Linked DNA regions of Schizosaccharomyces pombe. The protein of the gene in region 2 interacts with the protein of the main gene of each other region in a biochemical or structural test. Each region holds a gene or a part of one and is shown on either strand. Other genes may lie near its edges.

What was found.
Region 1: of the proteins of set13 (region 2) and rpl42, one has a biochemical effect on the other in vitro, tested with the Schizosaccharomyces pombe proteins (one study listed by BioGRID).

The regions. Positions count from the first base shown.
Region 1 is NC_003424.3:3,720,511-3,723,590, reverse strand, and holds rpl42 (60S ribosomal protein eL42), read right to left. Parts: upstream 1,135-3,080; 5' UTR 1,083-1,134; coding exon 783-1,082; exon of another isoform or gene 593-782; coding exon 572-592; 3' UTR 517-571; downstream 1-516. Other genes in the region: SPOM_SPAC15E1.02C (uncharacterized protein), read left to right, coding at 1,835-2,281; bud6 (actin-interacting protein 3), read right to left, coding at 2,628-3,080.
Region 2 is NC_003424.3:3,139,366-3,143,947, reverse strand, and holds set13 (ribosome L32 lysine methyltransferase Set13), read right to left. Parts: upstream 2,525-4,582; 5' UTR 2,486-2,524; coding exon 2,345-2,485; exon of another isoform or gene 2,297-2,344; coding exon 1,619-2,296; exon of another isoform or gene 1,553-1,618; coding exon 1,281-1,552; exon of another isoform or gene 1,230-1,280; coding exon 914-1,229; 3' UTR 765-913; downstream 1-764. Other genes in the region: SPOM_SPAC688.16 (uncharacterized protein), read right to left, coding at 1-26; scn3 (TatD DNase family Scn1), read right to left, coding at 3,217-4,224. UniProt on the Schizosaccharomyces pombe protein: S-adenosyl-L-methionine-dependent protein-lysine N-methyltransferase that monomethylates 60S ribosomal protein L42 (rpl42) at 'Lys-55'.

The DNA.
Region 1 (3,080 bases), 580 kb from region 2:
GCTTTAGTACCAAAAAAAAGTAATTATTTATTATGCCTGCAGTGTGAAATCCAAGTGCCGTTATGCAAGGATGCACTACACTCTCACTATTAGCAATTAGTTACTTAATATATCCATAATTCGGCAAATGGCATAGTCTCCTAAACCTTAGAAGACCCGTAAGCATGGATAATTTAAAGAAAATTTTTTTGCAATACTTGAAAGCATATTTGATGCTTTAGTACTCTCGCTATTTTACGCTGTACTTGTTTGATTACTTTTATCTTAGTTAACATGCTGACAAATGTGATGGGTTATTTTCCGAAATCACAACACCTGTCTTCTACTCAAGCAGTAATACAAGTCTTGAAAAGCTCTGACTCAAACCGATGGAACTAGAAACACTCGAAAAAGATTGCTCCAATATTGAGAACAGACCTTAGCGTTAGCGAACTGCTAATTGATGACAACTCATCACTTTGTGTGCTACTCTATCGGAATCATGTCATTATTTATACAATACAAATGAAACACTACTTTGAATTGCTTTTAGGATCACCGTAAAAGAAGAAAATTGTATTTGCTAAAACACTTAGAATTGGATAGCAGCACCCTAAAATGATTGTTAGTAGATGAAATAAAGAAAATGATCGATAATAAGGATGAAACTCAACAAAAGACAATTCATAAAAGCGCTTTGCAAAATTTTTTTTCTGGATTTGAGAGGTATTCAACCACGGCAAAAACTCTTTTACAAATTCGTCTAAATCCAATCCACTCGTTATCAGCATTCTTCGACATACCTTAGTCTTCTTTTCACCACCAAGCTCGAAATGCTTGCAACGCTTCAAAACCAATTGATTCTTGTATTTGCAAGAGACGCATTCCAAACGAAGGACAACCTTCTTGGTAACCTTAGCCTTCTTGTGGAAAACGGGCTTAGTTTGACCACCAAAACCACTTTGCTTGCGGTCATAACGACGCTTACCCTGAGCAAGCTTGGAATCAGGTCCCTTCTTGTATTGGGTGACTCTGTGGACAGTGTGCTTGCGGCAGTTCTTACCAGGACAGTAAGTCTTACGGGTCTTGGGAATGTTCACCATTTTTTGATACTTTTATAAGTGATGGTTAGATGGTGGTGATTAGGAACTCGACAGCATAAAGTTTCTCTGCTAAACCCTTGTTGTACAAATGTGACTGTTTCTTATTCCTCTAGGTTAGGTTTACTTGCTGCTGTAATGTCGTTCAACGCACTGTTCGCAATAGTGTGAACAACCGATAGCTACCCTAAAAGTGTTTACTGCGTAAGATCAAGCTTGCAATATATCAAATGTGGGCCAGCAAACAAAATTTCTAAGCTACATTGTTTTAGTGCTGGAATTTCAATCCAACTTTGATTCTTCTGTGAGGGCTTTTTAATGTAAAACATGCGAAAATTATTGTAGTAAATTTCTATTTTTAATCACTAGTTGTTACCATCGCTGCACTCCAAATCTTATATTTATCGACTTCACTGATTTCTTTATGCAAGACTTGGCACAGCATCCGAACAGTATGAGATATTGCTCCACCAAAAGTTTAGGAAAATGATGTAGATATCACTATGTAAATAGCGAAATAGCGACTTAAAACAAGTCAAGTCAGGCTAAGCAGTATTTCCCAATTATCATACTTCATCGACACGTCAAAGTGACGCCCCAAATTAATCTGTACCTAAATCCATAATTGGACCTTGAGTATACTATATATTTAGTGGTAGCGCCCTTAAATCCTTTAATTACAAAACATTTATTTTACAAAATATTCACATTCATATTAATCTTGTTCTAACTCAAACTAAATATTAATACAAGAAATGCCATCCTACACTCACATGCCGTATGTACGCCCTAGTGCAATTCTCTTGGGGATTGCCTTCGACCATGCTGCTTCTTTCCTCGTTTATGGACCCCTAATGGGCGATATTTGGAAAAGGGCAATGAGCACTGCACCTCACGTCGAATATGACGCTGGAAGTAAAACCAAGAAGGTTGCTACAACTTATGTTAGCAATTTCCTTAGTACAGCAGTTCAGTCGTACTCGATCGCTGCATTGTTGCAACTTACAGGCACTGTGACACTCAAAGGTGCCTTTTTCGTGGGTCTTTATGTATTTGGTGCATCTGGATTGCCCGACGTAGTCGACTATATGTTCACAGAAAGCAGAGGTACCCCTTACATCCTTGTCAAAACTATATCTTCTCTAGTGAAATCAGTAGGCTTAAGTGTTGCCTTGATCGGTTACGGCGTACGTCGTATTTAAGATTCCGATGGTTCAATATCTGATTTTTAAAACGACAAGTTAATCAAATTTTCTTTAATATCTAAGATTTCTTTTCTGTGTTTATCTCATATTTGGTTAGACTGTAAGTGAAAATAGTATCCCAATAGTGGTATTGGACAACATCGAAGCTTCCTTTGCTTGTTATAACTGTACATATTAAGGTATGTTGTAACTCTATTCAGCAAATCCTTGATTCACAAGATTTGCATCAGTCCTAGTGTAATACAGGGTAATTTCTCTCGTAACAATTAAAGTTAAAAAAAGTAAAAAAAAAATACACAAACTGGCATACAATCATTGCCAAATCGAATAAAACTTATGCACATTAAGTTAGGCTTGTCTCTTCAACATCTTCGGCATCTTCGTAAGCGTCATAGTCATCAGTGGATATCGTATCGTGTCTTACATGATGAGTCACTTTACTCATCTGTACATTGTTATCGTACTTAAGATCAGTATTCTCAAACACTGTATCACTAGAACTTTCGACTCTGTTATCGGAGTATTTAGAAGGGGTTTGTTCATCATCTGTTTCATGAGCTGTACTACGGACGATCGGCGTCTCATATATATTAAAATCAGGTTGCTTCAATGGCTTTGGAGTTGCCAATGGACTGCGTTCTAACATAAAATTCTCTGTATCCACCTGTGAACCGTAGTCTATTTCTGCAACAGTTGCTTTAGCAGAATTATCAGGCACAACATGTTCGTCTAAAACAGTGTCACTCGATTCCTCAATGAAACTACCTCCATTTTTTCCATTGCGTTTCGATGACAC
Region 2 (4,582 bases):
GGCACATGTAAATTCAGGCAGGACATATTGTAATGATCTTAGTTTGGTCTAAATTTACTCAGGTTCTATATAGGTAGAAGAATTCTTTAAACGGGATATCTATAGTATGACCATCAATACAAATAGCAAACGTTAAGGAAGCGGTAAAACTCCTCGCTATCGTGCTTACAAACAATATCTGCTATAATAAAGAATGTTGCCTTTTATTCGGCGTTTAATATGCTTTTAATAAAACCCGTAAAAACATAGCAGTACTAACTTAACCAAATAGACAATTGAGTAATTTGACACTTACATTCATTGACAATCTCACATATTCCTCAAGCAAATCCGTTTCAAAACATTAGAAGTTGATTCAACTTGGTAAATTAGTGTTTTGAATAATTACTTTTTCATATGTGTGCAAATCTGTTGGGTTACTAATAATAAATAGAATGTGAGATTTTACAATATCAGTATTTGTTATTTTTATAGTATTACTGAATAGTCAAGTTTACTATTCACATAACGAAATACTAAACCAAAAAAACAATAATATTACTAGGAAATAAAAAAAAAAGTATAAAAAAAAATTAGTATGCCTTAATTTTCATTCTCTAAATATGTTGTCTAATATAAAGTAAGTGATATATACCTTGGCGATTAATTTTTTGGATTTTTTTTTAATGCTCAAATACTTAAAACATATTTTTTTTAGTCAATAGTTTATATTTTAAAAATTAATTAATAAAACGTACTGCCTTATTTTAATTGCCTACAACAATACACAAGTCAAAAATTTTTATTATTTATGAGTAGCAAGTCCCCAAAATTCTATACATCCATAATTTTACCTCTATAATCTTATTTATTTTTCCGTAATAAAGAACTTAATTCGTAGCAAAAAAAATTATCAATATCACAGCTTTCCTTTTCAGTGATCAACCTTTTGCTTTTTCTTGGGTCGATTTTTTGTCAGGGCTTCTTTGACTTTCGCAGAGAGATTTTGAAGTATATCAATTTCCCCTTCAATTAATGTCTTTGCATTTTCCTCATCAAAATTCTTTGGATCTGAAATCTTCGGATACATATTTATCCGCTTTTCAATAATCTTGAGTAGTTTTCTATAATGCTTTGGTTTTATGTCTGATTTCGAAGGAACAGATATTAATTCCTTTTCTTTTTCCATCAACACAAAGGCCAAACAAATTTCTTTGAACGTCAAATCCGCTTTTGAAAATGTAAAATCACTAGAAAACGTTAGGTATAAAAAGCTCATCATTGAATTGATCATAACTTACCCCTCCAAATTGTAAAGTAACTCTTCACGACATAATAATTCAAGACGTGCTTCTACTTCTTCAAATCCAAGCTTTTCAATGTACTCAGGAAGCCAGTGCTCTTTTTTAATCAAAACAAAGTCATGTGGAGTACCTTTCTTCTTAGTAAATCCATATTTCCTAAATAACTCTGAATTATCTAATTCCCCATAAGTATTCCACAATTGCTCTCCTTTTTTGATATCCCGAGTAGCAATCATCGTAAGTGTTCCATTGATATCGTAGAGACGAATCTAAAGCATAGTTAGTATACATCTTTGGCTTCAATTAATAACTCATTGAGGTTCGAAAGTTCTTACGTTACAAAGTTCATCGTCACCATTAAACATATCAGATATAGGACACATTGCCTTTTCAAGTTCATCAGGGTCGACCTCAGATTCGAGATCAGAAAATTCGTCTTCTGAATTTACTTCACAGTTGTTACCCACAAGACTTTGTGAATGCAATTTTTCGTCATCTTGATTAGCCGAACCTTCATTCTTCTTAGCAGCATCTCCATTTTTGTCCTCCTTTATCGAAGTTTCAGCAGCAGACTTTTCATTTTCATTCGAAATTGGCGATTTCGTTTTTTCAATGTCGAAGCTATATGCAAGCATTACAGCACTCATTCGCAAGAAGTCCTCATAGCTCACTTGTGAAAACCGATTTGGGTATAACTTAATTATGGGTTCAATTCTGTCGATCCATAATTGTGTAATTTCATTACAATCCTCATTGGATTCTAATACGGTACCTCTCAGAAGGGCATCTTTTTTGTTTTCATCCCAGTAAAAGGGTGAAGTAATTCTTTCTTTGGTTGGGAAGATCGACAAGTAAGGTCTCCAAAACGAGTTAGGACTTGCATTTTCAGTTGCCATTACTAACAAAAGGGCAGCCCAACTGGGTAAACTTTGAACTTCGGGAAGTTGTGCCAAGTCCGAATTTGTCAAGCACAAAACACTATCCTTCTTGAAACTGACTAATTTTTCATCTTCCTTCAAGTATTGTTAGATTTCATATACTGTCAGTTTTGGATTGCTTACCTTAATGTCCTCTAAGGCGATGAATCCAATCCCCAGTGACTCATGTACGTGACGGTAATCGTTGAGTCCAATTTTTTCAGAAGTAGTATAATTATCCTTTTCGATTGCCCATTTTAACATAGATTCCGCTTGCTTCAACATCACTGCCCCTCTATGTTGGTCACTAACACTTTTGTACACAGAAGAAACAAATTCCTTAGGTCTGCCCCTAACCTCCTTTTTGAATAGCCTGAAATGACCGAGTTGTCGTTAATTCAGATAGTAGTATTCAATTGGGTTCTTAATCAATGTTAAAAGATTTATAAGTGTAACTGATGTATAAATTTCAATTTGTGAAATAGGCATACCAAGAATTGGAAAAAAAAGTAGCTTAGTATTACGAATTTGAATGGCTAAGATACATCAGTTAATGCTTGGCTTACGATCACTAAAAGAGCAAAAAAGTCTAAGAATTTGCTGTACGTGCATATTCCTTTCATAAAAAGTGGAAATTCAAGATGGTTTTAGTAGAATACTTTAGTAACGGGAATCACAAAAATTTTTTTAAAAAATATTTTATCCTAAGTAATAAATAAACAAAAGAATTTTGCTAAACATGTTCAGCAAAGTGTTAGAAATTTTTAAGATAGAGACATTAGGTGGACAATATAAGAAAAAAGTTCATGAAAAAGGACATTATAAATAAAGTTGTATGCAAACGCAAGCATTTCCACACTAGTTCAGTCAAGTTTCGGGATTTAGTAAACGAAACAGATAAAAAACGAACCTAAAGGTTACCAATTCCAATGGGAATAGCCAGTAATCTCTTATGCACTTATTTAAGGTGATTGTGCAGGTAACTCTAATTTGTCAATAAACCGTAGTGCATGCGTTCAAGTTACTTTCAAAAATGCTTTAGAGTTACTTGAAATTTTTGTAATAGTATCCTCAAAAGTCCAGGACTTAGCTTCTGACATAACGTTCAAAGATTGTCGAACTAATTCATCGATTTGGCTAGCACTGTGATGATCACTCTCTGCCAATAGCTTATCGTCGGGAACGCCTTTAAGTGTTTGAATAAAATTTTTATAACGACTATTTATACCTATTGAAAAAGAGTAGTAAAACTCGGTCGGAACTTTATGGGCTGAAAACTGAGAAATTTGCTCAATGCTACCAGAGTAGCTATGAAGGCAAATTTTGGGAGGGTAATGCTTTCGTTCTTCAGCAAGAGAATTTTCGTACTCTTCTTTCTTCATCTTTCGTATTTTCGTTTTGGAAGGAATCCAGCGACCATCCCAAAATTTAGCTAAACTGCTATACAAAAGAGCATACGTCTGAACGCAGTGAACACTAACAGCACGTTGGAATTCTGCAGCAAGACGCACTTGTGCTTCAAACACTTTACATTGATGTTCCATTTTTACGTAAAATGGTGATAGAGGTCCTTGAGGAAGTGAGGACCTTGCATCATATGGGCCAACTGGCAATCGAAATGGCTTATCCAAGCCGATTTCGCCAATGAGAGCGTTTGGGTACTGTTTAAGATGTCGACGAGCGTCCTCCAAAAATTCTGAAATCGGGACTGGGTTGGGAAGAGCATTGATAAAATCTTCATCAGGTATTGGAGTCAATATTTTTTCGTAATGCTTCTTTTTTCTCGTTTCACTACTTTGCAAATCTTTATCCAAATCATCGTACAAATAATAAGAAAACCATGGATGTATCCCAAAACTAGGTATTACTTTACCAGGGTATTCTTTCGCAAGTTGTTCGACATACTTTTGATCTGTCGGCCGGGTTCCCATTACTATTAATTTACCAACAGAAAGATTAGCAACCAAATGTAATTCTTGCGGTGCATCAGTTGGATGGCAATGAGCGTCAATGATAGATTCCATAATGATATTTGTAGTTAACAGAATGCTCTCTGCCCACCGTACTTTAAATAGTTGGGATAGGGAGAGTAACGTTGGAGTTGACGAAAACATGTGTATGCTAATGAAATTCAACAACTTCATTCGTTTCCCCATTGTTTGGTAATTACTTGATGACATAAAGATAAAACTTGAATATTACAGTCGTCTTCAATTTAATTAGTCTACTGCAAGCTCAAGGGCAGATACCTATTTCGTTGACTAGTTCCTCCATGTGACCACCTTACCAATAATATTTTCAAATTTATTTATTAGTGTTAGCGTCTAGGTAATTTGAGAACATACGATAAAATACATCTTGAATATCTGTTTATGGGAGAGG